Linked DNA regions of Saccharomyces cerevisiae S288C. The gene in region 3 interacts genetically with the main gene of each other region. Each region holds a gene or a part of one and is shown on either strand. Other genes may lie near its edges. The genes, in order: DOT1, RAD9 and DPB11.

The links.
Region 1: mutations in DPB11 (region 3) and DOT1 impair growth when combined (synthetic growth defect), as found in Saccharomyces cerevisiae (3 studies listed by BioGRID, with this or other methods).
Region 2: mutations in DPB11 (region 3) and RAD9 impair growth when combined (synthetic growth defect), as found in Saccharomyces cerevisiae (6 studies listed by BioGRID, with this or other methods).

Annotation. Positions count from the first base shown.
Region 1 is NC_001136.10:1,340,765-1,344,603, forward strand, and holds DOT1 (histone methyltransferase DOT1), read left to right. Parts: upstream 1-1,728; coding exon 1,729-3,477; downstream 3,478-3,839. Other genes in the region: adenine phosphoribosyltransferase APT2, read right to left, coding at 3,753-3,839. UniProt on the Saccharomyces cerevisiae protein: Histone methyltransferase that specifically trimethylates histone H3 to form H3K79me3.
Region 2 is NC_001136.10:901,486-905,085, forward strand, and holds the start of RAD9 (chromatin-binding protein RAD9), read right to left. Parts: upstream 1,996-3,600; coding exon 1-1,995. Other genes in the region: septin SPR28, read right to left, coding at 2,296-3,567. UniProt on the Saccharomyces cerevisiae protein: Essential for cell cycle arrest at the G2 stage following DNA damage by X-irradiation or inactivation of DNA ligase.
Region 3 is NC_001142.9:263,382-267,220, reverse strand, and holds the start of DPB11 (protein kinase activating protein DPB11), read left to right. Parts: upstream 1-2,169; coding exon 2,170-3,839. Other genes in the region: SIP4 (Sip4p), read right to left, coding at 1-1,295. UniProt on the Saccharomyces cerevisiae protein: Has a role in the initiation of DNA replication. Required at S-phase checkpoint. Required for the association of PSF1 with origins. Also required for the proper activation of RAD53 in response to DNA damage and replication blocks.

The DNA.
Region 1 (3,839 bases), on a different chromosome or scaffold from region 3:
CCAACAGTTTAGCATTTTTTTTTATATAAATTACCATAAATACTGCCTCAGGCCGCTCAGCTTATATTTTCAAGTCTCTCCATTTGGCTGTTTGAGGTACCCAATTGTTGTATTCTTGATACGGCTGTTTCAACTATTCACATAATAAGTGTAGTCTAGTCTCTTCGATGAGCCTTTTATGCACCAAGGGAAATTAAATGAATTTCTACCAAACCTTATTCATTTTGAATTATGTAGCTCTGACATTTTGTTGTTTTCCTTGCGTGCCCAATGTTGCCAGCGTAAAAGTTATCGTAAACGTTATCGTAAACGTTATCCCCGTTTTGTAAACTTTATTGTCTTCGTAAAAAATAGAAACCAACACTTAAAATTGGTCCCATAAAAAATTGAGTCAGTTCCTTCATCGTGGTACAGTCAGAGTATTCTAAATTAATTAATTTACTGATAATTTAATAACATGAAGAAGAAAGATTGGATATTGAAGTTATCCACCAGGCACATATAACGCTCTAAATAATATTTGGATGTTGCACTAAAGTCCACGATGAAGAATAAAAAGCATCACTTGATCGTTCAATGAGCCAATCTTGGAAATTTTGACACCTCTATTAACCAGAACATCCAGCTTGTTGAGAACTGTTGGGATAATTCAGAAATGTAACTTTGAAACTCAAATAACTCAAGGAACGGGAGTCTTTCAAGATTTTGGAATAATTTGACCACTTTGTTTTTAAACAATTCGAGTGAAGGCCATGCGCTTCTTGTAAGCTTTGTTAATGAATCTATCTTTTAGTTAAAAACATTTCTTTCTTTATCCAATTGAATTATGCCATTCGATATTAAATACGACAACAGGAACACTGAAGAACGGGATACTCCCCCCCCCCCTTGTGAATGTGCTACAATAAACAGAATATCGCCACCCGGTCACTTCTTCTCTCCAATTCTTACTAAATTAGCGATAAATTCTACCCTTTCCATAACTGGCCGTTCTTCTGCAAGAGAATTTTTCCTACTTGAATAGGCATACTTGAATCTGAAAAGTAGTCATAGATAGTGAAGTCTGCTTTATTAATAAAATTCCAGGATGTACTCTTGGAGATCGAATCAAGTTCCTAGAAATCCTTTGAGAAAGAAGCGGTGAATACCCGTAGGTAGGATTTTTTCACGTAATTAAACCGCCTTATCTTATTTGTTGCCAGAAAACTAGAGGATGGAATAAACATATTCCCTAATGGTGTGGCATTTACCTGTCTGTCTAGTTTCTGTTAGTGCATTCCAATGTCAGCTGCTTCGCTACATTGTTTCCAATGAAAGCTTGTATTTTCAGAGTCGAAAGCGTCGTCGCCTCTTTTTATGGATGAAAGAGCTCTGGCATGAATTTTCTCTGTAGTGAAAAAATGTTACGGCTAAAGACCGTAGAGTGACTTTCTTTGTTTTTCTGTTCTTGAATTTAGACACTTACTTCACAATAGTATAACAAGCCAGAAACTAAGTAATGATTTACGTGCCATTTTTTTTAGCAATATATGCATAATCCTGCTGACGCCTTCGCACGCGTCAATGAAAAGGGACATTGAAAAATCGACCGGTAAGTGCTTTCAATGAGATAAACATAATTCGAATATAGGGCATCTCGTCGTCTTAATTGCCTTGAAAAATAACTGAGGTCCTCATCAAGGAGGTCACCAGTAATTGTGCGCTTTGGTTACATTTTGTTGTACAGTAATGGGCGGTCAAGAAAGTATATCAAATAATAACTCAGACTCATTCATTATGTCGTCCCCCAACTTAGACTCTCAGGAATCTTCAATATCACCTATTGATGAGAAGAAAGGCACCGATATGCAAACCAAGTCGCTTTCAAGCTATTCTAAAGGTACGCTTCTCTCTAAGCAAGTACAAAATTTATTAGAAGAAGCTAATAAATACGATCCAATATATGGGTCATCTTTACCTCGAGGATTTTTAAGAGATAGAAACACCAAGGGTAAGGATAATGGGTTGGTTCCGCTGGTGGAGAAGGTTATACCTCCCATTCACAAGAAAACCAATAATAGAAACACAAGGAAGAAGTCATCTACCACCACGAAGAAGGATGTAAAGAAGCCAAAAGCTGCAAAAGTAAAAGGAAAAAATGGCAGGACTAACCATAAACATACCCCAATTTCAAAGCAAGAAATAGATACTGCACGAGAAAAAAAGCCATTGAAAAAAGGTCGGGCAAACAAGAAGAATGATCGCGATAGTCCTTCATCAACATTTGTTGATTGGAATGGCCCGTGTCTACGGTTACAATATCCATTATTTGACATAGAGTACTTAAGATCACATGAAATATATTCTGGAACTCCTATACAATCCATTAGTTTAAGAACAAATTCTCCACAGCCAACGAGCTTGACATCAGATAACGACACTTCCTCAGTAACGACAGCAAAGTTGCAGAGTATTTTATTTTCAAATTATATGGAAGAGTACAAAGTCGACTTCAAAAGGTCAACAGCCATTTATAATCCAATGAGTGAAATTGGTAAATTAATTGAATACAGCTGCCTGGTCTTTTTACCTTCACCTTATGCTGAACAATTGAAGGAAACTATACTACCGGACCTAAATGCATCATTTGATAACTCTGACACGAAAGGTTTCGTGAATGCTATAAATTTATACAACAAAATGATTCGTGAAATTCCTAGGCAAAGAATAATTGACCATTTAGAAACAATTGATAAAATTCCTCGTTCATTCATTCATGACTTCTTGCATATCGTCTATACCAGGAGTATCCATCCGCAGGCGAATAAATTGAAACATTACAAAGCATTCAGCAATTATGTTTATGGAGAACTTTTGCCCAATTTCCTATCTGATGTATATCAACAATGCCAGTTGAAGAAGGGTGACACTTTCATGGATCTCGGTTCGGGAGTAGGTAATTGCGTAGTACAAGCTGCGTTGGAATGTGGATGTGCATTAAGCTTCGGATGTGAAATCATGGATGATGCTAGCGATTTAACTATACTGCAGTACGAGGAACTAAAGAAGAGGTGTAAGTTATATGGGATGCGTTTGAACAACGTGGAGTTTTCATTGAAGAAAAGCTTTGTGGACAATAACAGGGTCGCTGAACTAATTCCTCAGTGCGATGTTATCCTCGTAAATAATTTTTTATTTGATGAAGATTTGAATAAAAAAGTCGAAAAGATACTACAAACGGCAAAAGTTGGATGTAAGATCATAAGTTTGAAAAGTTTAAGAAGCCTCACTTATCAGATCAACTTCTACAATGTTGAGAACATCTTCAATAGATTAAAGGTGCAAAGGTATGATCTTAAGGAGGATAGTGTTTCATGGACGCATAGTGGCGGAGAGTATTATATATCAACAGTGATGGAGGATGTGGACGAAAGTTTATTCAGCCCTGCTGCAAGAGGTAGGAGGAACAGAGGTACGCCGGTGAAGTATACCAGATGAGGCACTTTGAACGGCTTTTAACGATGAGTATGAATAACTAAGTAGAAATAACATGTACACAAGTGTAACTTATAAAAATCAAAAAATAAAAAAATAGAAAGGGAGAGAATAAGAGTAGGTAATAATATGAATTAAAAGAAGGATAAGGCGCCGTGGACCAGGTACCTAAAAAGTAAAGTACCAGTTTATATTAACAAAAGAAGTTCAAGCTAAAAAGTAGCAATATGCGAAGGAAAGGAAAATAATTGAAGGAGGAGGCAGAGAACAAATTTAAATCAGGAGTGCAATATGGAAAAAATAGGAGCAGATAATTTCTCCTCACCATGTAGACTATCTAACACTAGCACAAAGTCATATTCCAG
Region 2 (3,600 bases), on a different chromosome or scaffold from region 3:
AATCAAAGCTACATCCAAAGACTCTGTGCCATCTTGTTTATCTGAATTGCATTCTTTATTATCATCATGAAGCTGAAGTGAGTTCCCCTTGCTTTTTTTTATCTCCATTAAAGTTTCTTCCTCGACTACCAGCTTTTTTGGAGACGTTTGAAGATCTTGCTGCTCTTCAACTTCAGGCAGTTCTTGGGTTAGTTCAACCTCGCTCATGATTGTACTTTCCTTTTTCGTATCAAGCTCATTTGGGGACATACGTTCTGTTTCATCACTTCCTGAATCAGATATTTGCTTTCCTGAAAGTTGTAAGTATATTCTATCGGTTATTTCCTTTTGTTCGTTGAAATCAGATGAACCGGCTATGATAATGTCATCTCTGGTAGCTGCATTTGAAGAATTTTGTATATCGTTTGAAAAAACATTGTTTGTCTCTACTTCTCTCTCGTGTATATTAAATGTATCTTTTTCCTTCGGAATAGGTGAAGAATTCGAGGGTTTTGACATCGTATTCTTAGATGGTGAACTAGTCTCAGGAACTTCCAATATGGGTTCAAAATTAATCCGAGAAAGAGTAACGGGAGTTTCAAAGGTTGCATTCAAAGCATTTTGTTCAGGAGAATTTATTATTTGGGTTTTTATTTCTTCTGTCTGGCCAGTAGAATGAAAAACAGGTCCCTTCTGAGCAGATATGCCTTGGGAAAGCGATGAAACAATTATCTGTGTCTCTAATTCATTATTTGTTTCGGTATTGAAACTTTTAGATAAGGGTTGCGTATCGATTGAAATACTATCTAAAGGCATTTCCTGTGTTCTTGGATTATTGACTATTTGCGTAGATCTATTGCTATTATTTTCCGTTTTGTCTTTTGAGTATCGGAATATCCACTTCTTGGATGGTTCCCGATTGTTTACACTCTCACTGGAATACATTTCTTCTTCCGCATTGTTGCGTGAAGGGGTGCCAGACACAGCACTATTAATATCGATATCTAAATTGTTCACGTCATTCTCTCTACCCGAAACATTCAGATTCTTTTCCAATTCGTTAATCTCCTCTGATTCATTACTTTGTATTATTTGATTGTTCCGTTCTCTGAGATCATCTGATGAATAGTTCTCACTTTTCTTTTTTACTGGATTTTTTTCCTCGATAGCTCCTATGTTATCTTCGTTATTGTTAAAAACCTTGTTTACATTTCTTGTGGTCCGGCCATTCCCGGTAATTTTGTTCTTGTCATAAGAGCTTATCGAATTAGGTGATTCTGCTGATATCATGATTTGAGTTTTTTGAACTCGTTCATCTTGCATTCCTCCACTTTTACTTAATTCGTCTTTATATCTTTTAGGTGTAACAATTCCTTCCAATGCACAGTCATAATTATCAGCAGAACGTTCAGCCATCTGTACAAAAGTGGCATCCGCCTCTGTAACTTCTAATGACGCATTTTCTTCTCCATCATTCTGCTCTCCATAATAGCAAAACCCAGTATCTGACTTCAACTTTTTGAAGGTTTTCTGTTCCAATGGATCAGTTGGAGTTTGAAAAGTCATTTTTTTTCTTAACATCAGAGGAGTGTCTTCCAGATCGGAGCTTTGATATTTGGTCAAAAGATTTTCTTTACCAGGGGTTCGATTGCTTTTGAAAAAGTTAGCAATTCGGTCAAGGTCAGGAGTCCTTTCATTATGCAATATGTTAGCATTTGGTCGATCATTATCTCCTACTTCAATATTTAACTCATCATCATGTCTTGGACTCTCGTCAAGTAATCCCAGAGATTTTTGAAATATCTCACTTGTATTCATAAACTTGACAGGATTTGGATTTGCTTTGGGACTTCCTTCGATTATGTTTGTGCTATTTACCTTGTTTTCCAACGGATCAACGGGAACATTCATTTCGTTCATGTCGCCATCAGCCAAGGGAGAATGCAGTGCTTCCTTTATAGCGCTTTGGGTGACTCGATCTGGAGAGCTTTTCCATTGAACTAACTGGCCTGACATAGCCCTGATGTTGAAGATTTTCTCACTATGCTCTTTTCTATGGCGTTTCTCTATCTTGCTCACTTCACATTGCTCATCGTTGCAAATATCCACGAACAAAAATCCTCGCGTGTTTAATCAGAACTGCACTCTGAAAATTCAAAGCCGTGCCAGTAATAAGAAAGACACAAGGTTATATAGAGACACATCGAGAAAGTATATTATAGATTAAAAAAATTTTGCCTTATACTTTAGTGCACTTGAAAAAGCAATAAAATTTTATTTCATATGTATCTAACGCTAACAAGGCCGTATATTTATTTAGACCTTATTTTGATGGGGAGCTGCCAACATTTTCTCCAATAAATCAATCTTCCTTTGATAGTCTTCAATAATTCTGTTTTTTTCGTCTATTTCTTTGTGTATTTGATAAGCATTTTCATCGTTTGTATCTGGATTCCCAAGTGTTCTACTTGCACTATTTCTTCTGGTGGAAACATTGCTGACACTTCCCCTTGAGGTTTCGTCGATATAGCTATAGTTTGGAATATCATAGTTGTTTTTCTTCTCAGTTAACACTTTAGCCCTATAATTTTCATACAATACGTTGTTTGTTACATCTTTTAATTCCTGAAGGTGAGAACCTAACAGTATTGCTTTTAAGTATATAAAATCGGAGGTGTTTTGGTCTTCGACCACCAAGCTACCCCATTCGTACGTTCTGATATGCTCAACCCTATTTTCCGAATTTTTATTAAAAGTTTTGCTGCAAACAATGGCAAATGGCGATATTTCCTTGATCTTCGTGTCATTATCGTATTTGGATTTTGCTGAACTGGAATCGATGTCCATATCGTACAGAGCTAATGTTTCGCCTAGGGTGTCACTTTTAAAATCAAAAACACGTATATTGTTCTGAGAGATTTCTTGGCGCACAATGTCTTTGTGTAAATTTAATTCAGTTTCTGTGAGACCATCGGCTTTTGGAATAATGGGAATTAAATTAACTTTATCACAAATCGTTTTCATTAACTCAATATCAAATTTTTTGACTCCTCTTGGAGTACTCTTCAGAAAGTATAAACAAACATGAGGCCTCCCATCAGTTTCTTTTGTGTTTCTCTTTATTCTGACCTCTTCTTTTAAAACATTTGCAAACTGTTGGTCTAAGTAGTTTTTTATAACAACAGAGCTTTGTGAATTGTCGACATTGTCACCGCAGCCTGGAAACAATATGATATCTAATGTTATGGGTACGCCTAGTTCATCGTTCAAATACACTCTTCTGGTGACAAGCTTCAGCCCAGGACTCAAATGGGCTGTTTTATATCCAGGATCTATATCTTCGATGGCGTTTCCATTTTCTGGTGTTACATTATTTGTCACTTTATCATCATCATCATCATAATCCCCATCAGAAAGCGATATATCCTGACCGCACAGATTGTTTAAAAACGTTGATTTGCCGCTGCCTTTTTCTCCAAGTAACAAAATTGACAACTGCAGTCCTTTCTTGTAACCCTTGCGACGTCTTAACTCATCTCTGCTGAGAGTATGTTGTTCAAGAGCTGAGTGATCTTTCATTGGGAACATTTGATTATTTACTGACTTTATGTACGTATAGTA
Region 3 (3,839 bases):
AAAGATGAGATATTCAACAAATTACATCCATCCAAAGAATATATGATGAAGTTTAACAAAATTTCAAAGGGCTTCAGCCTGGGGATTTCTAGAACCGAGATTGATTTCGGTTGAAATTCTTCAGTTAAAAAGTTGGACTTTGGTAAACCTTGAATTAAGGACCACCATGAGCTTAAGAATTGAAAGCACCAAAATGTCACTATTCTATCATCCTCTTCATTAGATTTATTATTATTATTGTTGCCTGATATAGGAATTAAATTTTTGGGATTTATGTACAATCCCATATTCAAAATATTTGTAAAGTTTAGGTTTAGCAAATCATTGGTCCATATTACTGAATTTACATTTGAATGTTCTGTTAACGAGCTTTTACTTTTACAAGAGTCAACAGAGGCGCCCATAAAATAAAAGATGGATAAGTTAACCAATTGCAAAACTTTCAAGTCTAATTTGCTGTTTGTTGTCAGAGAAACAATAAGCTTCGTGACTTTAAAAAGCTTGAAATCATCAAAACAAGACCAAGTAAATTGAATAATATAAAGTAACGCCAGTAGAGTTATGGGTTCACCTGTCATTGCGGTTGAATTAATCTTGTCTAATAGCAAATTTTTCCATAAATTTGTAGGGTATAATAGAAGTAGCAAAGAATTTTGCCTTTTAAAAAAATCTTTAATAATGACAGACAACAAATTTTTCAAAAACTGAAGGTTATAATCATATTTAAGTAAAAGAAAATTTGGGAGATGATTAAAGTCACCATTCAGGTTCAAAAAATTTGTTAACAGTTGCAGTTGTAGATCAATATTATTTCGATCGTCTGTAAAAACTACTGCTTTTTGAGTAGGAAAAGTATTAGTTAGAATATTCCATGTCAAATGTCCCAAAAACCTTTGATTTTCAGACTGAGTGTTGTAATTATCAAAACAATAAAATGTATCATTAATGAACGGCAAATTAGAATTTGCATTGGCGCTGGAACTCGCATTCATATTTGTCAAACGGACGACCTCTTTTTCTAGTAGTTCTGTATACCCCTTTGGAAGACCTCTCCTCGACAGTTTATCCGAGGTTTTGCAAGGGAAGTCAATTTTCGCACAGTTTGAACAGTTCGGTTTTAAACCGTCACACTTGATTTTTTTCAGTCTGCATCTATCGCAAGCATGCGCCTTTCTGACAGAGAAATCAGTGATTGCGTTAGAGGAGCTTTGACCGGTTGGTACTATCAGGACTTTATTGCTGCAGGAATCTGTATCATCGAGGGAATAAGACCTGCCATATTTCCTCTTGGCCATCGTCTATTCAGAGTAGCGAGAAGAAAAAAAGAAGCAAAAAAAAAAAAAAAAAACGAGCAAAAGAAATCGAGCAAAGGAGAATGAGCAAAGGATAAACGGAAAACAATGGTAAAGAGGATTAGCCGCTGAACTAGATTGTAAATTGAAGCGGAAAAGAAAACAAAGGAGAGGAAATCGGAGAGGCAGAAAGCTTTCTGCCTTATATACTTTTTTTTTTGCCGCCGAGTTCTGAGATCACGCCCTTAAATTTAGCCGCCAAAACACCGGTCGAACGGCGAAAATGGATCGGAGTCTTGATTGCACCCACACCTCGCATTTTGTGCACTAACATAAAATATGACGAAGTGAGAGTCATGACACACAGAATAACTTAAAAATACTTGAGGAAAAAGTTCTCATATTATGAGGTCATAATAACTACATCGTTATTGTTGCGATATAACTTCAATGTTTTCTGCCTGCAAAAGAATCCTTCCTTTTCCTTCTTTAATTGAAGAGTCCATGTAACCTTGTTTCGTTACTTATATTTATTCACCTTTCTACTTTAGTCACATAACGTAATCTGGGCATAATCATTGAGGTATCATTATTAGCTTGAACTCGTGGTTCCTATTGTCGCCAGGTTTCTTTCAACGCATTTGCTCTTTCCGCTTCGCATACGGCGGTGATCAAATGCAAAACTTACCCTCATCAGTATAAGAGAAGAAAAACTGCATGGACTATTCGCGTATTGCCTGGTAAAGCTATATAGTACTATTGGTAATGTTTGTACTGTTTTATGTACATGATGAATAAGAAGAGACAAATTTTACGTGATATATAAGTCTTCTATTTCTAGTATGGCAGGTATTTTATCAGTAGCATTAATATTACTATGAAGCCCTTTCAAGGAATAACATTTTGTCCGACTGCAATAAATAATGAAATCTTAGCTAAAAAAATATCAAAGAAAATTATTAAGTTAGGAGGTATATTTTCTAAAGATTTGACCAGACAAGTTAATGTCCTTGTTGTTGGGTCCACCACCAATACAAACAAATTTAAATTTGCGGTGAAGCATAGATTCGATATCATATTTATTGACATTCAAGCCATTGATGACATTTATCAGCTCTGGCTGTCTGGAGAAAATATATTGCCGGACTCTAATACGGCAACAATGACAGGATCCACCTATGAGATGCTGAAGATACTTTACCGGCGATTTTCGTTTAAATATTTGCATAACTTCAATATCTTCATTGGCAGAATAACCGACACTAACATAACTTCCATCGATTCATTGGTTAGGAGTATTAAAAAGTTAGGGTGTTCTAGTTATAACTATCAAAACTTTGTAATCAAAGATACCTCTTCACACAATGATGACGATGATCAAGGTCAGAATGGGCAGATATCCATTTTTGTTACGGATACTTTACTAGGAGCAAGAGTTAACGCTGCTATTGAACAAAATATACCTATTGTACATTTCAAATGGATTCTCGATTGCCAAAAAAGAAGCGCACTGTTACCGTACGATCCCTATTATCTTTTACCAAATATTAAAGACCTGCCCTATGATTCAATCGGATCAAACTCTTGCGATTGCTGGGATAAAATAAACACCACCTTTCCAACCAATATCGATGCCCAATCCTCTCTGCAGCGGCAGCAATCCTCCAGTACCCTGACTCCTTCGCTCCCGAAAACATCATCCCTCTTGAATAAATTTAAACCAAAGGGTGAAAAAATATGGGACAAGGCAATGTCTCTACAGCAGCATAGTAAGACAAATTTTTCAGTACTAGGGCAGTCACCATTATCGATAAATAACAAACAAGAAGATTTAAGTGATAATAGTACTTTGATTTTCAAAAATTGTGCGTTTATCATTCATCATATTTTTCCTGGCAATCACCGTTCAATACTAACCAAAATTGTTGTTCAAAATGGGGGTAAAATTGAGACGTCTTACTTGAGCGGCATTTACGATCATTCTTATTACATCATTCCAAGTAATAAAGCTCTTGACTCCTTCAATGATTTACCTGAGATTATAGATGATAATGATGGTATAGTTACAGAATTTTTCATTGAACGCTGCTTGTATTATCAAAAATTACTACACCCAATAGATTTATGGTCAAAACCCTTCCTCAGCACAATAGAGTTTCAAGTTTCGTCTTCTTCAAAGTTATTGCATCATGAATTTTCTTCTTCCCCTTTTCTGAATGTTACTATCACTGGATTCTCTGGCGTAGAGCTGTTACATCTGACTAAAGTATTAAATCTTCTAAAACCAATGGGCATCAATTATGTAGAATACCTCAATAAATCCACTGACATTCTGCTAATCAACTTAGCAGCTTTACCCAGTATCCCGAAAACCCATCCGTTATGGTCGAATGAATTTAGCGATCTTTTTACTCAGTTTTGCATTAATAACAATAATGATGATCCTGGTGATAATAACAGAAAAGATTTTCAAAATAATTCAATCTTGAGAAATTCGATGAAAAGGAAAATTGAATATATCAAGAAATTCCACTCCATACCGGTAGT